3 linked regions of the Saccharomyces cerevisiae S288C genome follow. The protein of the gene in region 3 interacts with the protein of the main gene of each other region in a pairwise test. Each region holds a gene or a part of one and is shown on either strand. Other genes may lie near its edges.

The links.
Region 1: the proteins of TVP23 (region 3) and YPT35 interact in a two-hybrid assay, tested with the Saccharomyces cerevisiae proteins (one study listed by BioGRID).
Region 2: the proteins of TVP23 (region 3) and YIP5 interact in a two-hybrid assay, tested with the Saccharomyces cerevisiae proteins (2 studies listed by BioGRID).

Annotation. Positions count from the first base shown.
Region 1 is NC_001140.6:322,954-326,031, forward strand, and holds YPT35 (Ypt35p), read left to right. Parts: upstream 1-1,812; coding exon 1,813-2,457; downstream 2,458-3,078. Other genes in the region: SBE22 (Sbe22p), read left to right, coding at 1-19; GRE3 (trifunctional aldehyde reductase/xylose reductase/glucose 1-dehydrogenase (NADP(+))), read left to right, coding at 456-1,439; thioredoxin-disulfide reductase TRR2, read left to right, coding at 2,645-3,078.
Region 2 is NC_001139.9:198,632-202,044, reverse strand, and holds YIP5 (Yip5p), read left to right. Parts: upstream 1-1,902; coding exon 1,903-2,835; downstream 2,836-3,413. Other genes in the region: AIM14 (putative metalloreductase), read right to left, coding at 1-1,484; SUT1 (Sut1p), read right to left, coding at 3,008-3,413. UniProt on the Saccharomyces cerevisiae protein: Possible role in vesicle-mediated transport. May be involved in proper membrane localization of Rab GTPases.
Region 3 is NC_001136.10:612,867-616,130, reverse strand, and holds TVP23 (Tvp23p), read left to right. Parts: upstream 1-2,126; coding exon 2,127-2,726; downstream 2,727-3,264. Other genes in the region: AFR1 (Afr1p), read left to right, coding at 1-1,843; RRP8 (25S rRNA (adenine645-N1)-methyltransferase), read right to left, coding at 2,880-3,264. UniProt on the Saccharomyces cerevisiae protein: Golgi membrane protein involved in vesicular trafficking.

The sequences.
Region 1 (3,078 bases), on a different chromosome or scaffold from region 3:
TTACTACAAGAAGTTTTGATATTTTTTGTAACTGTAATTTCACTCATGCACAAGAAAAAAAAAACTGGATTAAAAGGGAGCCCAAGGAAAACTCCTCAGCATATATTTAGAAGTCTCCTCAGCATATAGTTGTTTGTTTTCTTTACACATTCACTGTTTAATAAAACTTTTATAATATTTCATTATCGGAACTCTAGATTCTATACTTGTTTCCCAATTGTTGCTGGTAGTAAACGTATACGTCATAAAAGGGAAAAGCCACATGCGGAAGAATTTTATGGAAAAAAAAAAAACCTCGAAGTTACTACTTCTAGGGGGCCTATCAAGTAAATTACTCCTGGTACACTGAAGTATATAAGGGATATAGAAGCAAATAGTTGTCAGTGCAATCCTTCAAGACGATTGGGAAAATACTGTAATATAAATCGTAAAGGAAAATTGGAAATTTTTTAAAGATGTCTTCACTGGTTACTCTTAATAACGGTCTGAAAATGCCCCTAGTCGGCTTAGGGTGCTGGAAAATTGACAAAAAAGTCTGTGCGAATCAAATTTATGAAGCTATCAAATTAGGCTACCGTTTATTCGATGGTGCTTGCGACTACGGCAACGAAAAGGAAGTTGGTGAAGGTATCAGGAAAGCCATCTCCGAAGGTCTTGTTTCTAGAAAGGATATATTTGTTGTTTCAAAGTTATGGAACAATTTTCACCATCCTGATCATGTAAAATTAGCTTTAAAGAAGACCTTAAGCGATATGGGACTTGATTATTTAGACCTGTATTATATTCACTTCCCAATCGCCTTCAAATATGTTCCATTTGAAGAGAAATACCCTCCAGGATTCTATACGGGCGCAGATGACGAGAAGAAAGGTCACATCACCGAAGCACATGTACCAATCATAGATACGTACCGGGCTCTGGAAGAATGTGTTGATGAAGGCTTGATTAAGTCTATTGGTGTTTCCAACTTTCAGGGAAGCTTGATTCAAGATTTATTACGTGGTTGTAGAATCAAGCCCGTGGCTTTGCAAATTGAACACCATCCTTATTTGACTCAAGAACACCTAGTTGAGTTTTGTAAATTACACGATATCCAAGTAGTTGCTTACTCCTCCTTCGGTCCTCAATCATTCATTGAGATGGACTTACAGTTGGCAAAAACCACGCCAACTCTGTTCGAGAATGATGTAATCAAGAAGGTCTCACAAAACCATCCAGGCAGTACCACTTCCCAAGTATTGCTTAGATGGGCAACTCAGAGAGGCATTGCCGTCATTCCAAAATCTTCCAAGAAGGAAAGGTTACTTGGCAACCTAGAAATCGAAAAAAAGTTCACTTTAACGGAGCAAGAATTGAAGGATATTTCTGCACTAAATGCCAACATCAGATTTAATGATCCATGGACCTGGTTGGATGGTAAATTCCCCACTTTTGCCTGATCCAGCCAGTAAAATCCATACTCAACGACGATATGAACAAATTTCCCTCATTCCGATGCTGTATATGTGTATAAATTTTTACATGCTCTTCTGTTTAGACACAGAACAGCTTTAAATAAAATGTTGGATATACTTTTTCTGCCTGTGGTGTCATCCACGCTTTTAATTCATCTCTTGTATGGTTGACAATTTGGCTATTTTTTAACAGAACCCAACGGTAATTGAAATTAAAAGGGAAACGAGTGGGGGCGATGAGTGAGTGATACTAAAATAGACACCAAGAGAGCAAAGCGGTCCCAAAATCATTTGAGTAACCGGATATCTATCGGGATATTAATAGCAGCTTCCATTTCAACTAAAACAACAGCAAGATATGAGCGACAAGATATCCTTTCTACCTCCCGAACCCATCCAACTACTTGACGAAGACTCCACGGAGCCTGAACTCGACATTGACTCACAACAAGAAAATGAGGGACCCATCAGTGCGTCAAACAGCAATGATAGCACTAGCCATAGTAATGATTGCGGTGCCACAATTACCAGAACAAGACCTAGACGAAGCAGTTCTATCAATGCAAACTTTAGTTTTCAAAAGGCTCATGTCAGCGATTGCACCATAGTCAATGGCGACCATGGAACAAAGTTTGCTGTCTGGAGAATTACCGTATTTCTTGAACCCAACTTGAAGGCTTTTGCGGCCAAGAGGGAAAGCTATAAAATCCAAACCTATAAACGATACTCCGATTTCGTCAGATTACGAGAGAATTTGCTCACAAGAATCAAGACAGCGAAACCTGAGAAACTTAACTGTTTGCAGATTCCACACCTTCCCCCTTCAGTGCAGTGGTACAGTTCTTGGAAATATCAAGAAGTGAATCTGAACAAGGACTGGCTGGCAAAAAGACAGAGAGGGCTCGAGTACTTCCTCAATCACATCATCCTTAACAGCAGCCTCGTAGAAATGACCAAAGATATACTCATACAGTTTCTAGAGCCTTCAAAACGAGTTGCATAGCTCACCATCCCTATCCAACCGACTATTCTTCTCATCGACTACTACTATCCCATTTAACTCGGGCGCGTTGTTAATTAATCACTCGATGGGGAATGCCTTGAGCTGACCGCAATGAAAACTTTTAGGGGATCGTCCAACATTAAAGGAAGAACGAAACGGACTCCACAGTTTCTAATATAAATAAACAATGATAAAACATATAGTTTCGCCATTCAGGACGAATTTTGTTGGCATCAGCAAGTCCGTGCTGTCAAGGATGATTCATCACAAGGTTACAATCATAGGTTCTGGCCCCGCTGCCCACACCGCTGCTATATACTTGGCAAGAGCAGAGATGAAGCCCACATTATATGAGGGAATGATGGCCAACGGAATTGCTGCTGGTGGCCAATTGACAACAACCACCGATATCGAAAATTTCCCAGGGTTTCCTGAATCGTTGAGTGGCAGTGAACTGATGGAGAGGATGAGGAAACAATCTGCCAAGTTTGGCACTAACATAATTACCGAGACTGTCTCTAAAGTCGATTTATCTTCAAAACCATTCAGATTATGGACCGAATTTAATGAGGATGCAGAGCCTGTGACCACTGATGCTATAATCTTGGCCACGGGTGCTTC
Region 2 (3,413 bases), on a different chromosome or scaffold from region 3:
GGCGTATTGTCATTGCTGTCCGCATTTTCTGAATTGAAATTAGAAATCGAAAGGTCTTCGTCTTCATTGTTGAAAGATCCCATTTCATATTCTGAGTTTTCATCGTCGATATTGGTCGTAATTTCGTCTAACCGTGTTTCCGCCGTGTATTCTCCACTAATAAATACTGAAATCCTCTTATTATTCGAGAGTTTTTTCTCAAAAGTCAACCCATTTGTCTTGAGATAATCCAAAACAAGTTCATATTCAGAGTAATCTTTTATCAGCCAGATCATTTTCAAGTATTTTACATTCTCCTTGTTAAAAAAATGCCTAAATAGTGGTAGGGCAAAAGATATACCAGACCCACCACATATAATAGCTATATTCGTGCCTTGAGAATAACATTCTTCGGGTACAGAGGGAGGATAACTATTAATCAAAGTATAGGTTTTTTCTTGATCTAAATGAAAGGATTTTGGATTACTACGAAGAGACTCTATCTGGCTACCTGGCTCGGCTGTAGAGGTTTCCTTTATAATAAGATCAATTGAATTGTCTTCTGCCAAAGACGCAATTGTGTATGGATGCGATGGTAGCAACCAATAGAGGGGATTAATTCTTCTGTAAGGGCTTATTCTAATATGCGACCCTGGTTCAAAATAATCTGGAAGAATAGCCCTGGGCAATCTTACATGGACTAAATTTGTTTTTGAATAATTCGCATTCTTATTCAAAATCATCAAGGATTTCGCAAATACTATTCTATTGATAATATGAATGAATAATAGGGTACAGTTTAGTAGAAGAAATGGGAACTTAACACCTGGCCTAGAGTGTATTGGGGTGAGTAAGATGAAGGCCACGTTCACCAGGTTATGTACGATGTAAAACAAACGATAGTTGTATCTTCTCATTGGCCCAATCGAGCAAATAAGTAAAAAAAGTACCAATATTGATATTATGAATCCCGCAAAATTGAAAGTTTTCAGAATCAATTTTTGCTTTAGAGAGACATTATCGTCTATCGCCCACTTAATGATGAAGAAAATCCCATGAAGCAAACCAATCACGGTGATAATACGTGAAAACCATTTATGGAACGGTATAAAATCAGTGTAGGTGCAATTTTTCCTAAGGAACCAATTAGGCCTTAAAGTGAGGAATAGGTTCAGCGGGATCAAGGCGTAACTCAACCTCCCTAATCTTTTGAGATAGACCGTAGATTGGGTAGTCAAAGAGTAATGGTAATAAAATGGAATCAAGACTGCAAAAAACAATATACCTAAGTGAATTGCAGGATCTATATCATACAACCGATAAATTATCTTATTTTTGAAAGCTGACGACGATCTGGATGGGGTTCTCCTTCCGAAAGCTCTCAAAAGAGCCAATCCAATGAGATAGACCAATGATATTATCAACACATAATACCCATACTTGATATTGGCAAAATGTGTCTCGGAATGTCTTTTAACCAACGTTATGAGAGGGGATTCTTTCATATTTATTGGAAGGCTTACCAAATTAGAAGTTTCTGGCGACGAGATATGGAAAATGTAGTTTTTAAATAACACGTCTACAATATAAGGAAGGAAAAGTCAAAATATTTTAGCGCCTTTAAGTGCGGTTGAGACCCCATAGTAGTATCCCTACAAATAATAGTTAAACTGTATTTTCAATACATAACGTAACAGTATATCGGTATTACGGAGCAGCGATCAATTAAACGCTATTTACCCGGCTGTGTATTATACCTAATTTCTCAAGCAGTGAAAATGTATCAACGTCCTACGCTCAAGGTAAAAGGGGCCAAGGGCAGCGACCACATTGGATCCAAACGCATTGGTTCTGTAGTTCTTTTTTACGCTTCATCCACGATTGTATACTAGCAAATAGGATTGACTCGACAAAAGCAGAAAAATGCCGTCCAATAATAGCAGTTTTTTAGATATTGACGATGATCTCGAGGGTGTAGATGATTTTGGCAACGAGCCCAACCCATTTGATGATGCCACCGTACCTGATAGCCCAAACATGAATAACTCGACTGCTGGAAAGGGTAGCGAATTTTATAACACAACGGGCAGTAAGGCAGAATCCGCACCATTACAGGGTCAAATGGACCCACCAGCGTACGACCAAGTGATAGGACAGAATGACAACGACGGTCTTGGGCGTAATGGATTGAGGCCAGGATTGATAAACTACTATTCTAAATACTTCCAGATCGATTTGACGCAGTTCAAAAAGAGATTGTCCGCGGTACTGACGTTTAGAAACGATCATAATTCCGAAAGTAACGAAGATAACACTGATTTATACGGTGCTGTATGGATCACTGCCACGGTGGTAATGATCAATTTTACCATGAGTAGGGGGTTAAATTTTATTATCAGTGACGTAATTGAGGGCGTCAAGACTGGTGAGGACATCGACAGGGCCAGTCAGTTTAAGAAGCTACTGCATTCTATTTGGCTATTTTACGGGTACACGTTCGGCGTACCATTTATTACCATGCAAGTATTGAATAGAGATGAGCACTCGGAGCGCAATAGAAGCTTCAAAAGTGTTCCTGAATTGATTTCCGTTTACGGGTACGCTAACTTGATCTGGATACCCGTTTGTGTTATATTGAATATATTGGATATGTCCAAGCGCCTGAGGACTGTTCAAGCAATTCAATGGGCAATTGTGGCTCTTGGGTGGGCACAGTCGTCTTATTTCTTGAATTCTCAAATATCGAGTAATAATAATACGGAGACACAATCGAACGGGAAATTTTCGCTGTCCATCATCGTTGTCGTTGCGCTGCATACTTTATTCTGTCTATTGTTCAGGTTTATAATATTTTGAAAATATGCGCACGTCTATACACACAATACTTTTTATGACTAGTATCATTGTATACTCTTATTATGTAGGGTTATACATGAGTGTTTATACGTTTTCTGTGTGTACATATATATCCATATATGTTAATGCTAAATGCAAGTTTTGTGATGCTATTCATTAGAGATGCCTTTGTCTAAAAATCAATGCTTTTATAGTCATCATAGGTTATGTCGTAAATGGTTTTATCCTTAAATTTTAAGGAGATTTTGGATGAAATGTTTATGTCAGCTCTGGTAAAGCCTTTTGAAAAAGTACATTTATCATTTTTTGGGAAATTAGTGGAAGAAGAAGAATGCTTTTTCTTAATGCATGGTAAACAAGGTGTGAGCAAAACCAACTTATCAATATGCTTAATCAACTTGCGTGAGCCTGTACCCTCAATGACATCATCCGGTATGGCAATATTCCGCAACAGCGTGCCTCGATATAGCCGAATATCGTCAGGAGTCAAGACGTACCGCAACTTGTTCGAGATCATTGGCATTATAGTATCGTCTTGAAGCAAAATCTCAATTTTCGCATTACATTTTATTTTTTTC
Region 3 (3,264 bases):
TGCACAAGAAAACCAACCCATACCGGAGCGATTGATACCTAGGTCGAACTCAACTTCGAATTTGTTTGCTTTGTCTAGTACATTCTCTAAACTCAATGTTAGGAATGATGCTGATTACAATTATTCGAACCCGAATAAGAAGAGACACATTTATAGTGGCGAGATAGACTGTAGGTCTGTGACAGCAGCTAGAAAATTTCCAGTAAGGTCCTGTTCAATGACAGCCGCCCAGCAAAGAAAGAGAACTGCGCTATTCACAGTTAGGGAAAGAAACTCTTACCATGAGGGGTTCAATAATGATCAAGATTATGTGAGCCAATACCAGAAGCCACAGTACACTTTCGGAGTATATAAAGAATTAACACCTTATCAACTGCAGCGCTCTAAAATGAAAAGAAGCTTTCAATTTCCCAATGGCGAAATATACAAGCCAAAACTTGATGGAAAATGCACCCACAGCTTGAAAAAGCCTGAATTAAATTCAAGAGACTCTTCTTTATTCAAATTCAGCGAGAAGAAAGGTCGCAATTTATCAAAAGATTTTGTGGGGCCTCATAATGGGACATCAGTCATACATATTCCTCCCAATGATACAGGCTACGGTGTAAATAGCTTGGAGCTGAACACTTCAGTTCCTTCAACAATAAAAAGTTCGGTTTCATCAACCTCTCCGATATCTGCTGTTAATACCCTGACCAGCTTGCCAGAAAGTCAAACTGATGATGATGACGGTTATGAAAATAAAACTGTAACTATATCTTATTGCTTCGAAAATACGGTAAATGAAAAACATGGTAGCCATATAGAAAAATTGGATTTATCAACTAAGGAAAAAACTAAGCCAACAACTAATTCAGGCCTATTTGATAGAAAGAAAAAGACTATTCTGGGCACTGAGAAATATAGATGTATAAAGTCACAATCGAAGTTGAAACTGGGTTCTGTTTTGAAGAAATTATGGCGTACTTCAGGAAACTCGAATACAAAGCATGGAAAAAAGGATACAAAAAGAAGGAGAATTCCTATCGATGATATGGTTACGCATTCTGATGGAAATTCTGAAGCTGAGAATGATATTGAATTAATGGATGCAAATCTGGACGGCATTGAATTTGACGACGACGAAACTCTAATGGATACAGATTCAATTTTTGATGATCTGTTGTCCAAGGAAAATGATAAATACGATTTGAGGCGAAGGCAATTAGAAATACGACAAAAGCTCCACGAGACCTCGCACAACGACGATGGCAAGGTTTCTTTTCGAGATACCGAAAAGCATAATGTCAATGAAGGTTTGATCGACAAGACCATAATCGAAGAATTTTCAAAGCTCGGTGAATATATAATCGACACGAGAAATCAACCACCACCAAGATCGTCCAAGAGGCCTTCATTAGATGACAATGAATCTGCACGATACTTCTACAACATATCGACAGATTTGCGACAGTCTCTGTCAGGTCCAATAAGCTTACCAATGCATGTTGGGAACGACATGGTAAATAGGTTGAGAAATGACTGGGAGTATATCAGATTCGAAGATAGAAGGAATTCGCTGCCAGATTCCTCATTTGATAAAGTCGAAACACCTCCAAAACCAATAAAAAAAGATGTCCGGTTTGCAAAAGAAGTATGTTTAGCAAGCACTTGGTCATCGAATGCATATGAGAGAGCTAATCCGGAATTCATTATGAATCGCCACAGATTGTTGTGGATGATGAAAGTACATCCAAGCATGAATAGTGCCATGAATGAGATCAAACTTGAACTTAACTCTTACAAAAAAAATGAGATGGTTGTCCATGAGAACAGCAAGTGCTTTACACATTATTTAATTTGAGTTATTAACGTAACATAATCCAGTTTATTTTTTGCAATAGAAGGCGTCATACATATTTATATATCAATGTATACATTCCATTCCAGTTACTTCTTTTGCATCTTGCTTCCTGTTTACCTTGACCTCGAACCTATTATTTGTCCGCAATGCGCCTTTGGGTGAAAAGGGATTTCGTTTCCATTTTAACTGTACATAATGTAAATGTAGAAAAGCGTGGTTCTTAAAGGATTTACGGTTCAATACGCTTTTATAAACCTGCTGGTGCTCTAATTACGAATGAAACATGGACCAGGCAAGAAATTTCTACAACACAATTTTAAAATCGTCGCACCCGTTGCTACTATCATTTCATCTGGCAGGTAAGGCAGTTCCCATTGTATTTTATATCATAGGATCAATGTTTTTGAATTTCACACCTCAATTCATCACTGTCGTTCTTTTACTTTCTTTTGACTTTTACTTAACAAAAAACATTACAGGTCGGAAACTGGTCCAATTACGCTGGTGGTATGATTCTACAGATGTGAACAAAGATTCTAATTTTACTTTCGAATCATATAAGCAATATGCGCCGGGCCCACCAATAAATGCCATCGATTCTAAGTTATTCTGGTGGTCGATGTATGTGACACCCGTAATCTGGGGTGTCTTCGCTGTGTTGTGTCTTTTAAGACTGAAAATATTCTACCTGATTTTGGTCATTGTTGCAATGTGTCTGACCGCCTGGAACACGTATGGATTTCGTTGTTGCGATAGATGGGAGCCCAATAGTGGACAATCTGACGGTCAAGATACTAATAATTGGTTCGCTCTTCCTTCTGTTCCGGGCTTTGAAAATCTTTCAAGGCTGGCTAATATCCAATCGTTTTTCCAGAGACAATAAAACCTTGTCCCTCATGTGAACATTGTGGAGTACTTCTTCTAGATGATTTTTACTTTACGCAATGTACTACAGGAAAAGAATACAATTATATGTATAAATATAGTATACAAAAGAAAAAACAATATTAAAATATGAAAATGACGGATGAAGTCGTTATCTTCTTTTATAAATACAGGGCTTCAAGAGCCATTTTCCTTCGGCAATTTTCCGTCTTTTCTTTTCTAATTCTTCCTTCTCAGTTTCAACTTCAATAAACTTTTGTCTTCTTTCCAATTTCTGCCTTCTCTCTTCAATAATCTCCGCAGGTGGCTTGAAAAATTCGAATCTTGTAAACATCTTATTCTCGTCGAAGGTCTTTTTGTGAAAAAATCCCATCAGCTTCAAAGCGTCTACAAATTCATTACCTTTGCCGTCACTAAACCTTGATTTAATTTCTGCGATCCATAATTCACCCCTTGGCGCTAAAATCCTATAAGCTTCTTTTATGAAATCGAGGAAATTTGTACCCATTAGAGCCAGGCAGAAGACCACTATAGTA